Linked DNA regions of Macaca fascicularis. The protein of the gene in region 2 binds, or shares a complex with, the protein of the main gene of each other region. Links are inferred from orthologs where the notes say so. Each region holds a gene or a part of one and is shown on either strand. Other genes may lie near its edges.

What was found. The genes of interacting proteins can lie anywhere in the genome.
Region 1: tubulin gamma-2 chain (region 2) and TUBGCP2 share a complex: the UniProt entries of both Homo sapiens proteins name them as parts of the gamma-tubulin ring complex. The link is inferred for Macaca fascicularis from reciprocal best matches to the Homo sapiens genes TUBG2 and TUBGCP2.
Region 3: tubulin gamma-2 chain (region 2) and NME7 share a complex: the UniProt entries of both Homo sapiens proteins name them as parts of the gamma-tubulin ring complex. The link is inferred for Macaca fascicularis from reciprocal best matches to the Homo sapiens genes TUBG2 and NME7.

Annotation. Positions count from the first base shown.
Region 1 is NC_088383.1:142,363,927-142,369,193, reverse strand, and holds part of TUBGCP2 (gamma-tubulin complex component 2), read left to right. Parts: intron 1-1,592; coding exon 1,593-1,752; intron 1,753-5,267. UniProt on the Homo sapiens protein: Component of the gamma-tubulin ring complex (gTuRC) which mediates microtubule nucleation.
Region 2 is NC_088390.1:63,715,634-63,721,677, reverse strand, and holds the start of tubulin gamma-2 chain, read right to left. Parts: upstream 3,584-6,044; 5' UTR 3,362-3,583; coding exon 3,313-3,361; intron 3,032-3,312; coding exon 2,919-3,031; intron 2,717-2,918; coding exon 2,549-2,716; intron 2,236-2,548; coding exon 2,167-2,235; intron 1,678-2,166; coding exon 1,651-1,677; intron 1,304-1,650; exon of another isoform or gene 922-1,303; intron 1-921. UniProt on the Homo sapiens protein: Tubulin is the major constituent of microtubules, protein filaments consisting of alpha- and beta-tubulin heterodimers. Gamma-tubulin is a key component of the gamma-tubulin ring complex (gTuRC) which mediates microtubule nucleation.
Region 3 is NC_088375.1:26,935,984-26,941,250, forward strand, and holds part of NME7 (nucleoside diphosphate kinase homolog 7), read right to left. Parts: intron 2,738-5,267; coding exon 2,530-2,737; intron 1-2,529. UniProt on the Homo sapiens protein: Possesses an intrinsic kinase activity. Displays 3'-5' exonuclease activity with a preference for single-stranded DNA. Does not seem to have nucleoside diphosphate kinase activity.

The DNA of each region.
Region 1 (5,267 bases), on a different chromosome or scaffold from region 2:
GGCCATCCACGGGCTCCACACTGCAGCAGGTACTGCGTCCGTGGCTGTCCACAGGCACCACACTCAGTGCTGTGCCGGACCCCTGCTGCAAGGGCATGTCTCTCTGTCGTTTATTAAAAATGAATCCCGGCCGGGCGCGGTGGCTCAAGCCTGTAATCCCAGCACTTTGGGAGGCTGAGACGGGCGGATCACGAGGTCAGGAGATCGAGACCATCCTGGCTAACACGGTGAAACCCCGTCTCTACTAAAAAATACAAAAAACTAGCTGGGCGAGGTGGCGGGCGCCTGTAGTCCCAGCTACTTGGGAGGCTGAGGCAGGAGAATGGCGTGAACCCGGGAGGCGGAGCTTGCAGTGAGCTGAGATCCGGCCACTGCACTCCAGCCTGGGCGACAGAGCGAGACTCTGTCTCAAAAAAAAAAAAAAATGAATCCCAATTTAGAGAGGTCAAGGCTTAACGCTTGATCATGACCTAGCTCTATGTGTTTATTTTTGTTTTTAAAACCAAGAATTCTGAACCACAAGAATCAATAACAACAAGGTTCTGACCCACGTGGGAGTTGTGCTGCCAGGTGGCCACGTGACTCTGAGCCTACCCAATCCTGACTCCCCATTTCCCTCCTCTAATTTTTGACAGTTTCGAGGGAATGCTTTCAGATTGTTATAATTTTTATTATTCCTTCCGTATTTGGTACTTGTTCTTGGTTTTGATTTTATGTCCTACCCTGGTCTTTTGATGTAAGTCATCTCCCAGTCTCTCTCCTTGGAGCTGCGACGTTCCTGCCTTTGTGACCTTAAAGCTCCCTTTGGAGCTGTGTCCCTGAGGCGTCCTGGCCTTGTGGTGCATGTTGAGTACAGCGGCTCCTGAGGGCCTGGCCGGTTTTTGCTGGGCATGTTCTGTGCTGGACATGGTGCTAGGCCTCTGTTCACGTCTCCCTCAGCCCTGGCGCCGCGCTGTGTGTGGCACGTAAGGAGACTGGGTCGTGCTGCCACGTGCAGAGACAGTTTGCACTTGCCCTGTGCCTGACCAGCCCTGAGTGGGAGTCAGTGCTTCCGAAAGCTGGGCCAGCCCAGGCCGACCTGTCAGCTTCCGGCGGCCACTGGCACAGGAGGGCAGGCGCTCTGACCACATGTCAGGAGCCAGCCTGTCGCGCTGGGGCCGTTCTCCAGCAGGGTAAGGACGCAAGTCTATTGCTAACACCTGTCTTCACCCAGCAAGTGGTGTTCAGACCTAGTCACTGCCAGGAAGAAGCAATTCAGCTTGTTCATGGGGTACCCTCCTCTGAAACAGCGGCTCTGTGCCAAGGTGCCCCCTCTCCTGTGGTTCCCACTGCTGGTGCCCATGGTTTCCCAGGGGGCCCTTGCTGGACCTGGACTCCTGAGAGGAGGGGCTGGGGCTCCCCATCTGCCCTGTTCTCCCCAGCCCCTCGTGTGGCAGGGATATCGAGCTGCATTTCATTTCTATGTGGCTGACTCTTTGTGGGTGCTAAATTGACTAATCATCTTTGCTGTAGATGTTAGTTTCTACAGGTGTATTGAGTGTTTGCACTAAAGTGTATCTTTCTGGTTTTGTTTTTAAAAATGTCCTTGCTAGTCTCTGGAACTTAAAAGAAAGATGCTTCGAGACAAGCAGAACAAAAAAAATTCGGGCCAGCACCTCCCTGTCTTCCCAGCGTGGGTGTATGAGAGACCTGCCCTGATCGGGGATTTCCTGATTGGTGCTGGCATCAGCACAGACACCGCTTTGCCGATAGGTACGTGATGCGTTTATTTCCGGGCTCTGCCGATAGGTATGTGATGGGTTTATTTCTGGCCCCTGGGCAGGACACTCTGAGGCCCAGCCCTCCCCTGGGCCTGCCCTTCCTCAGGTTGTGAGGCTCGATGCTGACTGGCCGCTGCCTCCATATTCCTATCCCAGGGTGGCAGCAGAAAGTGGCTCCCCTGGGTCCTTGAGGGTTCTTCTCCCGTCCCTCCTGCCAGAGCTGTGGGGCAGCCTACAGCAGGCCCCTCCCCAGCTGGCATCCTGGTGCCCTGGTGCAGACCTGCAGGCACCAGAATTGTGTGCAGCACTTACTTCTGAACAGCGGTTCATAACTCCCATAGATTCTGTTCCCAGAGGCCTCTTAAAGTAGTGCTCGTGTAAACAAGATGCAAGTGAGACCACACAGTCATTTCAAGGCATGTTGTTGGGGACCCGGGGTGTGTTCATCTGTCACAATTCATGGGTACATTTTTATCTATTTTTAATTCTTTTGAGATGGAATCTCACTCTGTCGCTGGAGAGCAGTGGTGCGATCTCGGCTCACTGCAACCTCCACCTCCCAGGTTCAAGCAATTCTCCTGCCTCAGCCTCCCAAGTAGCTGGGACTGCAGGTGCCACCACGCCCAGCTAATTTTTGTATTTTTAGTGGAGGTGGGGTTTTGCCATGTTGGCCAGACTGGTCATGAACTCCTGACCTCTGGTGATCTGCCCACCTTGGCCTCCCAAAGTGTGGGATTGCAGGCGTGAGCCACCACACCTAGTCAAGTACATTTTTAGATTGAAAAATGAGATTTCACGAACTTAAGGACAGAGATACCTGCTTGTCTTGCTTGTCTTGCCTCTGCCTATTAGTCCAAACTCAAGAGGCAGCGTGGAACGCGATCTGCTTTCCCACTGCTCGCGCAGCTCTGCGGTGTAGGCACCGAGAGGCCAACCCTTGCCTTTGCCAGAAACCCTGGAGAACGGTGACATGAAATCCACCTGTTTTCCTCATTCCCAACAAACAGAACTCTGCTGTAAGTTAATGAAAAGTGTAGAAAACAGTCTACTTTGGCCGGGCGTGGTGGCTCACACCTGTAATCCCAGCGCTTAGGGAGGGTGAGGTGGGTGGATCACCTGAGCCCAGGAATTCGAGACCAGCCTGGGCAACATGACAAGACTAGTCTCTACAAAAAGTATAAAAATTAGCCGAGTGTGGTAGCGGGCACCTGTAGTCCCAGCTCCTCAGGAGGCTGAGGTGGGAGATCACTTGAGCCTGGGAGGTCGAGGCTGCAATGAGCTGTGATCATGCCACTGCACTCCAGCTTGGGCAACAGAGTAAGACCCTGTTTCAAAAAAAAAGAAAACAGTCTGCTTTGTGCAGTGTGTTTTCAGTAATAATCCAACTGTGAAGAGTTAGGGAGAGAGAGCCGCTCCCTTAGCAGGTATTTAGCGGGCGGCTGGGGCAGCAGTGGGCATCTGAGAGCTCCTGATGATGCCCAGGGAGGCTTCAGAGAAGGACGCGCGGGTCCCTGGTGCCCGAGATCCCGGCAGTGGAGCACAGCGGAACCAGCTTTCTGGAGCAGGAAGCACTGAGGGGGGTGTTCAGGCTTTCCCCCCATGTTTCCCCATCCAGGGAAGGGGCTGTGTCCAATAATGCTGGGTGCCATGGGCAGCTCTGAGCATGGCGGTGATTGGAAGCAAGTGTGTGGGACTTGGCTGTGAACCCTGCAGCCGGCTCTCAGGTCAGGGTGCGGGTGCCCTCGGCACACTCAGCGCCCTAGGGAAGGGGCGGCCTTGCCCCACCTCCCTCCCACGGCCACAGGTCCCAGGCGTGCCACCGGCATCGAGCCTGCCTCGCCTCCCTTTGTCCGCACTGTCCCCGCCCCCTCGTGCCGCCTGCGCAGACTCGAGAATGGAGCTCACTGTGGTGTTCGTGCGGGGCCTGTCCAGCCCTTACCCCACGATTTGACCAGTGCCACACCACGGGACCTTGCATGACCTGGGGCCAGCGTCCTCTGGAAAACACCCCTGGAGTGGTGTGTGATGAGGACACGTGCCTTGGAAAGCATCAGGACCTTGTGAGCACGAGGCGGCTGCCAGCCCTCCACGTTCCCGCCGTGCCTCTCCACAGTGTGGGCGTCCACCTGGCCAGCGCCGCCGCGGCAGCGTCCTCCCTCTCGTCGCTGCTGTGCAGCGTGCGGAGCTGTTTGCCTACCCGCGTCCTGCCTTTTCCCCACACCGGCACGGAGGAGCCACGTGGTCAGTGGTCGTTCGGACGTGGTGATTCGCAGACGACGACGCAGGTGTTGAGAAGACACCAAGGATGTTGAATATTGGGGAGGTGAAGCAACTGACTTCTTTTTTTCTTGAGACAGGGTCTCACTTCGTTGCCTTGGCTGGAGTGCAGTGGCGTGATCTCAGCTCACTGCAGCCTCGACCGCCCAAGCTCAGGTGATTCTCCCACCTCAGCCTGCCGAGTAGCTGGGACTGCAGGCGTGCACCATCACACGCAGCTAATTTCTGTATTTTTAGTAGAGACGGGAATTTGTCATGTTGCCCAGGCTGGTTTGAACTGGAGTCAAGCGATCTGTCCACCTTGGCCTCCTAAAGTGATGGGATTACAGGTGTGAGCCGCCGTGCCCGGCCTTGAGGTCCCTCCACAGTCAGGCAGCCGGATCCACACTAACCCCCACCCCACCGTGAGGCTTCTCCCCACATGGGCACTGGCCACTTCGTGGCTGTGGGTGAATGAGGCCAACAGGGTGGAAAGGAAGTGGTGCAGAGTCAGAGGCAGTTCCTGGAAGATGCACTTGCTGTTCTCGAACCCCCACGCCACACCTGCTGCTTTAGGAATGGCAGACCTCGGGGTCCCTGTTTTATTGGCCATCCTGAGAAGCCGCTGGAGTAATAGACAGAAATGGAACTTGAAGCTGAAAAGTGTAGATCTGCCAGCCTGGGCAACACGGCCCGACCCCGCCTCTACAAAAAATTTAAAAATTAGCCGGGAATGGTGGCATGCGCCTGTGTTCCCAGCTCTGAGGGAGGCTTAAGAGGCAGGATCGCTTGAGCCTAGGTGCTCAAGGCTGCAGTGAACTGAGATTGCACCACTGCACTCCAGCCTGGGTGACAGAGCAAGATTTGTCTCAAAAAGGAAAAAAAAACAAGGACAATGTGGATCTGCATCGTGATTGAGGCTTTTGCCGAAGGGCTTGCGTTGGTGACGGATTGCAGCTGCGCTCAGAGTCTTGAGGCCTGCAGTACAGGACACTTCCCAGCAGACGTGTGAGGCCGACAGTGATTTTGTAAACTGGAAGCGTGTTGTTTGGAGCCTTCCTGAGCTGCTAGGGCCTGGTTTGGGTGTGGTCTGGCTGGCACGGGGCCCTGTCAGGCCCACGTGGGGACAGTTTCAACATCGTGCTTTCCTCTGGTGCTCCTCCTGGCCCCCCAGGCAGGGCCCGCCTGAGGCTGTGGACTGAGAACTTGGTCCTGGGACGTGAGGGGTTTGGTAGGTGACGGCCTGTGGCT
Region 2 (6,044 bases):
AGATGGGTGGGGTTTTACCACACACATCAGGTAAGCAGCCAATTCTACAGTAGATGCCAGCTGGGTATCCACTAATTCACTTGAATTCTGGACTACCTACAGACTGTCCCTGACTTAGGATGGTTTAATTTAAGATGTTTTGGCTTTATGATGGGTTTATCAGGATGTAATCCCATCTTAAATCAAGAAGCATCTGAATTACAACGGTTCAATTTACAATTTTTCAACTTCATGATGGGCTAATTGGGTTATAACCTGACACATTTCTACTTACAATATTTTCAATTTTTTTTTCTTTTTTTGAGACGGAGTCTTGCTCTGTCACCCAGGCTGTAGTGCCCAATCTTGGCTCACTGCAACCTTTGCTTCCTAGGTTCAAGCCATTCTCCTGCCTCAGCCTGTTAAGTAGCTGGGACTATGGGCATGCACCACCATGCCTGGCTAATTTTTGTATTTTTAGTAGATATGGGGTTTCACCATTTTGGTCAGGCTGGCCTTGAACTCCTGACCTCAATTGATCTACCCGCCTCGGCCTCCCAAAGTGCTGGGATTACAGGCATGAGCTACCGCGCCCAGCCTGAAATTTGTTTTGGTTTTAGAGACAGGATCTCACTCAGTCCCCCAGACTGCAGTGTAGTGGTGTGATCATAGCTCACTGCAGCCTTGAATTCCTGGGCTCAAGGCATCTTCCTATCTCAACCTCCAAGTAGCTAGGACTACAGGCAGCACCATGCCTGGATGATGTTTGTATTTTTTGCAGAGATGGGGTTTCACCATGTTGCCCAGGTCCTGGGCTCAGGTGATCCACCCGCTTCAGCCTCCCAAAGTGCTGGGATTACAGGCATGAGCCACTGTGCCTAGTCAATATTTTCAATTTGTGATGTCCTGATAAACCCACTGTAAGTTGAGAAGTATCCGTACCTAAAGATAGCATCGGATCCCACAGAGTGAAGGCTCAGTCCCACAAGACTCTCCCACTTCCAATGCCAATACAAGCTTCAGGTTGTTTTATCTGTGCCTCTGACCAACCGGCTATAAATTGGGGTTCTCAGGACTGCTCCTTGGGTTCAATTAATTTGTTAGAGTAGCTCGCAGAACTCAAGGAGACACCCACTTACGTTTACCCGTTTGTTATAAAGGATATTTTAAAGGATACAAATAAACAGCCAGATGAAGAGATACCGAGGGGAAGCTCTGGAAGGTTCCGGCGCACAGGAGCTGCTGCCCTGTGGTGCTGGGTTTGCAGCCTCCCGGCCTGTGGATGTGTTCTTGTTCACCTTCCTGGAAGCCCCCGAACTCAGTCCTTTTGGATTTTTATGGAGGCTTCATTACACAGGCATGACTGATTAAATCATTGACAATTGGTGCTCTACTCAATCTTCATCCCTCTCCCTTCCCCAGAGGTGAGGGATGGGCCTGTAAATTCCAACCCTCAGAGCACCAGGTTTGTTCCCCTGGCAACCAACACCCCATCCAGTGGCTATCTGGGACTTTCCAAAAAATCGCCTCTTTAACATAAGCTCAGGTTTGGTTGAAATGCACTTGTTCCTCCTTAGTACAGCGGTTAGTAAAATTAACTAATTAAAATAAAATGAAAGATTAATCTAAAAGAAAGGGGCTTGTTATAAATAACAAAAGACTGTCTTTCACCTTTATCACTCTGGAGCTGTTCTGGAGCTGTTTCAGAAACCAAGGACGAAAGGTCAAATATTGTAACAAAACATACTCTTATTGCTCTAGTCCCTTAGGAAATTACATGGGTTATAAGAGTTGTAAGCCAGGAACACATCGCGCCCAGCATGGGGAGAGACGGAGAGGCAGTCTCCAAGGATCTGGGGGAAGACTTCGGCATGGCTCATTCCCCATTCCCAAAACGCCCATGTCTCAAAGCTTCCTCTTACGCATCCAGGCTGAGGCTCCTTGGGAAGGTTTGGAGCTGGAGAAGCTGAGTGACTCATGCCTAAGGGGCCAGTGCCATTCAGATTTATGACTTCCTTAAGAACAAAGATTATATTTTATTCACCTCAATATCCCACATCTGATGCTCCATAAATGGGTTTTGAATTGAATTGCTCCCCTCACATCACCTATCCAGGCCACCTCCTGACGTTTCCCCAGCACTCTTCAGCCTCCCTGCCCATTCCTTCCCCCACTCCATAACTTCACCTCTAAACTGTCACTTCCATCTGCTTCTCGGTCTATGATATCAAAGATGTCTTCATGAATTTTCTCACCCTGTATAGAGACATGGAAAGGGAGGGTCAGGCCAAAGGTTCCAGAGCGCATCTTTTCTCAGTACAGCACTGTCTACCCTGGAATACTGTTGCCACCCTGAAGCAAAGCCTAGGCTGTAGCCCTCAACCCAGAAGTGCTACTATTGCAAATGATTTGCACAAAATTTGCATAAACCTCTCCCTGGCTGTCCCTCTTGTTTGGGGAATCCTTTTGTCTCTTATTTTCTGGCAGTCTGGTCAAATTCCTAGTAGCTTGAGCCTCCCTTGCCTCTGGATGGGACTATCAAAGGTCTCTGGAATAGTCGCCCGGACACCTGGGAGAATCCACTGGCCCAGTTGTTGCCAGCTCCTCCTCCATGCTCCGACAGGTAGATGTTCTCTGGGTTGTAGAGCTTGGCATAGGGGGAGTTGAGGATGGAGTGGATCACCCGGGGCTCCAGGTCCAGCAGCACGGCCCGGGGGATGTAGTGCTCATCGTCTGCCTGTCAAGGGGAGTCCAGGAGGGGGCCCAATCAGCTAGGGTGGCCCAAGTCCTAAGTCCTCCCAACTCTGGCTCCCTCCAGCCCTCCCTCCTCAAGCCAGCCGCCTGGCCCCACTGCCCAGCAGGGTTCCCAGTACCAGGCCACTCCCTTCCCTTCTGGCCCCTCGGGCCATTGCCGCCCTTGGCCAAGTCGCTGGGGGCACCTGGTAGAAAAAGACGTCCTTGCGGTCAGTGCCTTCGGTGGCGAACTCCTCCACGATGCCCTCGGGGCTGATACCATGCTCAGCGCACAGCTGTTTCCAGAACTCGAACCCAACTGGGGGAGGGGGGAGATGCCCGGGTCTGCTGGAGCCTTAAGGCCTGAGGAGCCCAGTTTTAGTCTCAGAGGCCGACACGATCAGAGGGTGGACCCAAGATGCCTGGGTCTGGTGGCTGCCCCAGTCCCGGGCTGGGAGCGCAGCTCTCGGTCTGGGTTATCCAGAGCAGCAGGCTAGGGGGTTCATGGAAGGGGAAGGGGGACTGGTGGAAGCCAGGCACTTGGGTGGGACCCAAAGGGGCAGAACCAGAGACCGGTGGGGGCGGCGCTCGCTTGCTCACTCTGGTTGCCGCACTGGCCCAGCTGCAGGGTGATGATCTCCCGGGGCATCGCTCTTCAGACGTGGGCGCCCCAGCCCCGGCCTGGCGAGAGTCACGGCTGAGACGAATGCCTGGCAGCCAGGCGCGCAGGACGTGGGGAGCGCGCGCTCTCTTCGCCTCTTGACGCGGATGCTCGGTCTGCGCGTGTGCAGCGCAGGCCTCTCCTCGGCCGGTGGGCCGTGGAGCCCAACCTGGGCATCATTTTCTTCCTCAGCAGTCGCAGCTGGAATTCGGCACAAGCGCACAGTCAGGCCACGCCTGCTCCTGCCCACCGCTCCGCGCCTGCGCAGTGAGACTTGTTAGGGGTGGCAGGGTCGGAACATGGATGTGTGGGGGAGGGGAGGGGAGCGGAGGGGAGGGGAGGGGAGACGCGGGAAGGGGAAGGGAGGGGAGACGCGGGAAGGGGAAGGGAGGGGAGGGTAGGGGCGAAGCGACCAGGTGGACGTGCTTGTCCACGTGTAAGGAGTCACCTACCTATATTGGTAGGTGAGGACTCTGCCAGCTTTGCTAGGTCCAAGGGCTAGAAGCCAGCTTTTCTTCGTTTAAATTTCTATGTTTCAATGGTGTTACAATACATACACATGTATGTTACCTTTTCATTTTTTATTTTTTAGAAGTGTCTCGCTCTGTCGCCCAGGCTGGAGTGCAGTGGTAAGATCATAGCTCACTGTAGCCTCGAACTTCTGGCTTAAGTGATCCTCCCACTTCAGCCTCCCGAGTAGCTGGGACTACAGGCGTGTGCTACCACGCCCAGGTAATTTTTAAATTTTTAAAATGTATTTTTATAAAGATGAGGATCTCACCGTGTTGCCCAGGATGGTCTTGAACTCCTGACCTCAATCAATCCTCCTACCTCGGCCTCCCAAAATGCTGGAATTACAGGCATGAGCCACCACTCCTGGCCAAAATTTACCACTGTAACCATTTGTAATTACTGCATACAGTTCTGTGGCATCAAGTACACTCACATTGCTCTGTAACCGTCACCACCATTCTTTTCTAGAACTTTCTCATCTTCCCAAACTGAAACTCTATAGCGATTAAACAGTAACTTCCCCTTGACTACTCTAGGCACCTGATATGAGTAGAATTATACAGTATTTGTCTTTTTGGGTCTGGCTGCTTTCACTTAATATCTTCAAGATCCTTCCATTTTGTAGCATGTGTCAGAATTTCCTTCCGTTTTACAACTGAATAATATTACGTTGTATAGATGTACCACATTTTGCATAACCATTCATCCCTCCATGGACATTTGGGTTGCTTCCACCCTTTGGCTGTTGTGAATGTTGCTGCTTTGAATGTGAGTGTACAGATATCTGTTCGAGTCTCTGCTTTCAATTATTTTGGATATACACCCACAGATAGAATTGCTGGATCCTATGGTAATTCTGTTTAATGTTCTGAGGAATCGCCATATGATTTTCCATGGTAGCTGCAGCGATTTTATATTCCCACCAGCGATGCACAAGGGTTCAATTATATAGGAGGCTATTGGTTTGCACTGAGCTCCTGTGCTAGGCCCAACAGACCAAACCAAAATGGAGTCACTCATGCTAAAGTTCCATGTCACTAAGCAACACTAAGTTGTTTATCAAACCTTCAGAGGAATCAGGAGAGAGAAGGAACAGCCAAAACCCCAAACAGGCCAGTTTTAGCCGGCATGATACGGAAGTCCTTTCTTCTTTAACCTTTACAAGACAAGTAACTTTGAAATGACCAATCTACTTTTTTTTCTTCTGTTTCTATTTTTCTCTGCCCTTTTTCATCCATAAAACTAACCTGTGCTTGACTCATCTGAATACTCATTCTATTTATTTTATGGAATGAAATGTAGCCTGATTCTAGAATCACAAACACTGTCAATGCCACTTAAGGTCTTTTTTTTTTTTGAGACAAAGTCTCACTCTGTTGCCCAGGTTGGAGTGCAGTGGCACGATCTCGGCTTACTACAACCTCTGCCTCTCTCAGGTTCAAGCAATTCTCCTGGCTCAGCCTCACTAGTAGCTGAGATTACAGGGGTACACCACCACATCTGGCCAATTTTTTTGTATTTTTGGTAGAGACAGGGGTTTCATCATGTTGCCCAGACTGGTCTTGAACCCCTGAGCTCAGGTAATGTACCTGCCTCAGCCTCCCAAAGTGCTGGGATTATAGGCGTGAGCCACCATGCTCAGCCAAGTTAAAATTTTTTTTTTTTTTTTTTTTTTTTGAGACAGAGTTTCGCTCTTGTTGCCCAGGCTGGAGTGCAATGGCGCGATCTCGACTCACCGCAGGCTCCACCTCCCGGGTTCAAGCCATTCTTCTGCCTCAGCCTCCCAAGTAGCTGGGATTACAGGCATGTGCCATCACGCCCAGCTAATTTTGTATTTTTAGTAGAGATGGGGTTTCTCCATGTTGGTCGACCTCAGGTGATCTGCCTGTCTTGGTCTCCCAAAGTGCTAGGATTACAGGCGTGAGCCACCATGCCCAGCCTTTTTTTTTTTTTTTTTTTGAGATGTAGTCTCACTCTGTAGCCCAGGCTGGAGTGCAATGGCTTGATCTCAGCTCAGTGCAACCTCTGCCTCCTGGGTTCAAGCAATTCTTCTGCTTCAGCCTCCCAAGTACCTGGGATTATAGGCACGCTTCACCATACTCTGCTAATTTTTGTATTTTTAGTAGAGACGGGGTTTCACCATATTGGCCAGGCTGGT
Region 3 (5,267 bases), on a different chromosome or scaffold from region 2:
CATCAATTTTTTACCTAAAACCTCTCATCTTAAAAAAAATTGATCCTGCTTTTCTTGACAGCTACCACCTCATCTCTTTGCAGGAAAACTCCTCAAAAGAAAAAGTTGTCTATATTCATTAACTCCAATTCCTGTCCCACAATTTTCTTTTAAGTCTACTCCACACAGGGTTTTGCCTCTACCTCCCCATCAACATTGACCTTACAAAGTTCACCAATGATATCCACATTGCAAAATTTAACAATCCATTCTCAGTCCTCTTCTTACTTGATATATCTGCCATATTTGACACTACTGGTCATTCTCTCATTTTAGAATATTTGATTCACTTGGCCTCGAGGACATAATTATCTCAGTTTTTCCTCTTACCTCTCTGGTGGCTCCTCCTCAACCTCCTTTGCTGCCTTCTTTTCCTTGACCTTTTATCAAGAGGCAGCTTCATCTTTGGTGCTCTTTCCTTCTCTATCTACACCTTCTCCTTGGTAATCTCAACCAGTCTCCCAGCATTAAATACCATTGATGTGCTGATAACTCTAAGCTGTATACTAATTTTTTTCATTCATCAGTCTAATTGGATAACTAACAAACAGGTTAAGTTTACAAATGTCCAAAACGTAACTCCTGATTTGTCCATTCATTCTGACTCTAGCCACAGTTTGCCTCATTTTAGTTTATGTAAATTCTATCCTTCTGTTAATCAGGCTAAGAACTTTGGAGTAATCCTTGATATCTTTTTCTCATACTCTACATTCAGTCTAGCAGAAAATCTTGTTTCTTTGACCTTCAACCATTAATATATATTTTAAAATATATTTGTATACTTCTTTCATTATTACCACCTGGGTCCAAGCAATCATCTCGCTGGGTTATTCCAACAAACTCCTGATTAGGCTCCCTGTTGCCGTTTTTGCCCTCTATTGTCATTCTTTTTTTCTTTTTTCAAGATGGAGTCTGACTCTGTCACCCAGGCTAGAGTACAGTGGCGTGATCTCAGTTCACTGCAACCTCCACCTCCCTGGTTCAAGTAATTCTCCCGCCTCAGCCTCTGGAGTAGCTGGGATTATAGGTGGGCACCACCACATCGAGCTAATTTTTGTATTTTTAGTAGAAACAGGGTTTTACCATGTTGGCCAGGCTGGTCTTGAACTCCTGACCTCAAGTAATCTGCCCGCCTTGGCCTCCCAAAGTGCTGGGATTACAGGCGTAAGCCACCACTCCTGGCCTCTATAGTCATTCTTAATGCAACAGCCAGAATGATCCTTTTAAATGGCAAGTGGAACATATCAGTCCTTTGCTCAAAACCCTACAATGGCTCTATTTTTTCAGAGAGAAATCTAAAAGTACTACTACGGCCTATAAGACCATATAATCGTTCCCCTAATTACCTCTGTAACCTCATCACCCTCTTCCTCCCTCTCTCATTCCTATCCAACCACACTGTCCTCTTTGCTGTTAGTTGACTATTCTAGACAGAAATATGCTATTTAAGGAATAGTGAGATGGTTAGTATGCCTGGAACACAGTGATTAAAATAGAGATTGATCAAAGATACAGTTAGAGATAGATAGGGGCCAGACTAGATAGAGTATTGGAGGCTACAATAAAGACTGTAGATTTTATTCTAGAAGAGACAGAAATTCACTGAAGGGTTTTCAGCAGGTGAATGTTAATCAGATTTGTCTTTAAAAGATCACTGGGCATAGTTAATTGTACTTGGGCAAGGTAAAATTTTCATAAATTGAGTGTAAGAAAAGAGGAAAAAATAATTTGGAGGCTATTGTAGCAGTTCTGGCAAAATACATTAGTGATTTAGACCACAATGATCAGATTCAGGGTTTATTTTGAAAGAGCTGAAGGGACTTGCTGATGAAATGGTAAGAAAAAGAAGGAAATCAATTATAAAACTGTCTAATATTGTTTCATTGCAAACACGACCAGATTAAAAACTACTTTAAGTGAGACACTTCTCACAATGCTAAAAATAAACTTACACTTCATTAATTCAACCTCAGCATAAATCCAATATAATGCTTTATTTATATGGATTTAAAAATAAGGAGTAGAGAAACTTTCATAAACACTAGGTACATATAGGAAAATAATAAGATGTTAAGCTTGAAAGTACAGTGTTAGGTCTGAATCAAAAGGTAATATCTCCAATTATATCTTCTTTATAATATCTCCAATTATATCTTCTTTTTAATATCTGCTAGCCGTAAACTGGTATTCTTACATGAATTCAATAATTCAAACATTTAGGAGCCTCAGTAATTTAAGTCTTTGGAACAAGAAACAGGATGAGAAGTGTTTTATTGGAGAAAACTTACGTTGATCATGATCAGGTTACCAGTTCACAAAGGAGATATACTGAAACACTATTTGATACTAAGCAAAATGTCAAAGATTTTCTCTACTACTAGATCAGTGGCATAAATCCACCCTAAGTCACCAGTGACAGAAATGCTTTACTTTCATATAAAACATTTAAAAGAATTAGAAGAGAATTAAAATATTTTTAAAACTCCTTACTCTGGCCGCAGAAGCAAAAGAATCAGGGCCATGCGCTGCATTTCTTATGCCATCTGTTCCAAAGAGGGCTCTAATGCTTCCAGAAGCATCTGTGCGTGCCACCCCAGAGTTTGCAGGTCCCAGCAGTCTTTTCCATTCACATATAGCATCATCTCTTAAAATCTCCATGGCAATAACAGGACCACTCGTAATAAACTGGATCAGCTCACTGCAAAACAGAAGATTAGTTTGCTTCTTTTTTCTGTCAACCTAGTTATCTGTCTTAACAACAGGATATATTTAAATTGGATTATTTCAACATAGACATGAATATTAATAATCTTAGAACCATTGAGAATAGTTAATTTTACAGGGGCAGGAGAAATTTTTCATAAATTGACTGTCTTGCAGTGGCTCAATTCACTTCAAATCACTAGTAATGTCAAATTACTGTTAGCAGAAAAACCACTGTTCTGTTAAATTAAGACTATTATATGACTTAAAATGCATATTGTTGACCTACGCTTTTCCCAGTGCTCTAACAGGTACAGAGGATTTTCCTTTTTATTTACATGTGTTTACCACTGCAGTCAAGTACAATTTCACAATATACAAATTGATGACAGGGATGGATGCCTTGTAACATATTTTTAGAAAGAATTTATTTATTTTTTGTGTAAAACTATTAGAATTCAAAGACTGACAAAGAACTCTCTCAACCAATAAACACTGAGTTGGTTTGGTGATTTAAAAAAAAAAAAAAACAAAAAACCAGCAGGCTTCAAGAAATATCCTTTTATTAGTGTAAAAACTACTCTGGGCTATTTCTGTATTAAATTATTAAAGCTTATGCATAGGTTCTTGATTAAAAATCCAGCACTGAGTCACAGTCCCGCAAGGTATAAAAAACAATATCTCATTTTATTTTCTACTTTTATATGTGTACAGGATGCAATGACAAGTTTAACTATGAAATAAGTGACATCCTCCTTCTGACTGTATTAAGCAGGGACATAGTACTTTTTAGAGTAAGCCCATGTTTTTCTCTCATCTGAAGTAGAGAGAAGAGACCCTCCTGGAGAAAGGAGCATGCTGTGACAGGCTGTTTTGTGCCCACTAACTTACGACTATTTTTTACACACTTCCTTCCACCCTGTACCATGTTATATGTCACCTCCCCTCAGTACTTCCTTTTTAAAACACTCCCATTCATTTTGAAGAATATTTCTAAGAAATAGTATGTACAAAAAAGTATTCTTATCTTCTACCCTAAGAAGTCGATAATACCTCCTTATACACTTTCTGCCAAACCTTTGATGTCAAAACAAACAAAACTCCCAAGACCAACCATTAGATTAAAAAAACCCAAATCAAGGGAGCAAACCATGTTTAGTCACTCAGTAAGCATTTAATCATTACCTACAACATCAGCCTCTGTGCCATAAAAAAAATACCCCCTTCGAGACACTTACAATCTAATGCCCTATTAATACAGAATTCTCAAAACACACTATCAAATAAGCCTATGAATATGGCATGTAACAATACAGGGAATGATGTGCCTGATCATAGATACTGTTTCATGCAATTACTTCACCTAGTCTATTGTTACATCGTTCTCATTAACAGGCAACTAGTTAATCCATTCTTATAATAAAATTTACTGCACGTAAATCACATATAAATCATTAGACTAGGAGTTGTAATTCAATTCTATAAACATATACAAAGTTTATACCAAAAGATAATTTCCACCAATTTTCTAGAAAATTGTATATGGCTATTCTAACAAGACAGGAATATTTTATAATGCTTGATTTGAAATAATCTATAGCATAATAATTTTCTCATATAAAAATTTTTTTTTAAAAACCCACTACTCAGTGCAGGATATCAAATAACATGTCTACTGTGGCCATTTCATTTGGCTGATACAACATTCTTTCTTATTAGAAGTGTAAACACTCTTTGTCAACAGTAACATGAGTATGCAAAATATTCACTTAAATTTAATTACATGTCAAATATTTAGAATATATAGATTCAGTGTAACATATATTATTTGTTATGTGTCAAGGAACAAAATATATATCAAACTATTTAGTTAAAATAGAAGGGTTCCATGAACATTGCTTTATGTATACAAGACTACCAAAATAATTTAAAAGTACAACAGGCTACAGTAACCAAAACAGCATGGTACTGGTACAAAAATAGACACATAGATCACTGGAACATAATAGAGAACCCAGAAATAAAGTCACACATCTACAGCCATCTGAACTTTGACAAAGTCAACAAAAATAAGCAATGGGGAAAGGATTCTCTATTCAATAAATGGTGCTGGGATACCTGTCTAGCCATAAGCAGAAGAATGAAACTGGCCCCCTAATTTTAACCATATACAAAACTTCACTCAAGATGGATTAAAGATTTGAAAGTAAGACCTCAAACTGTAAGAATCCTAGAAGAAAATCTAGGAAACACCATTCTGGACATTGGCCTTGGGAAAGAATTTATGACTAAGTCCTCAAAAGTAATGGCAACAAAAACAAAAATTGACAAGTGGGACTAAAGAGCTTCTGCACAGAAAGCTTCTGCACTAGCGACAGAGTAAAAAGACAACCTACAGAATGGGAGAAAATATTCGCAAACTATGCATTCAACAAAGGACTAATATGCAGAATCTGTAAGGACCTTAAACAATCAAACAAGCATGAAACAACCCCACTAAAAAAATGAGCAAAAGACATGAATAC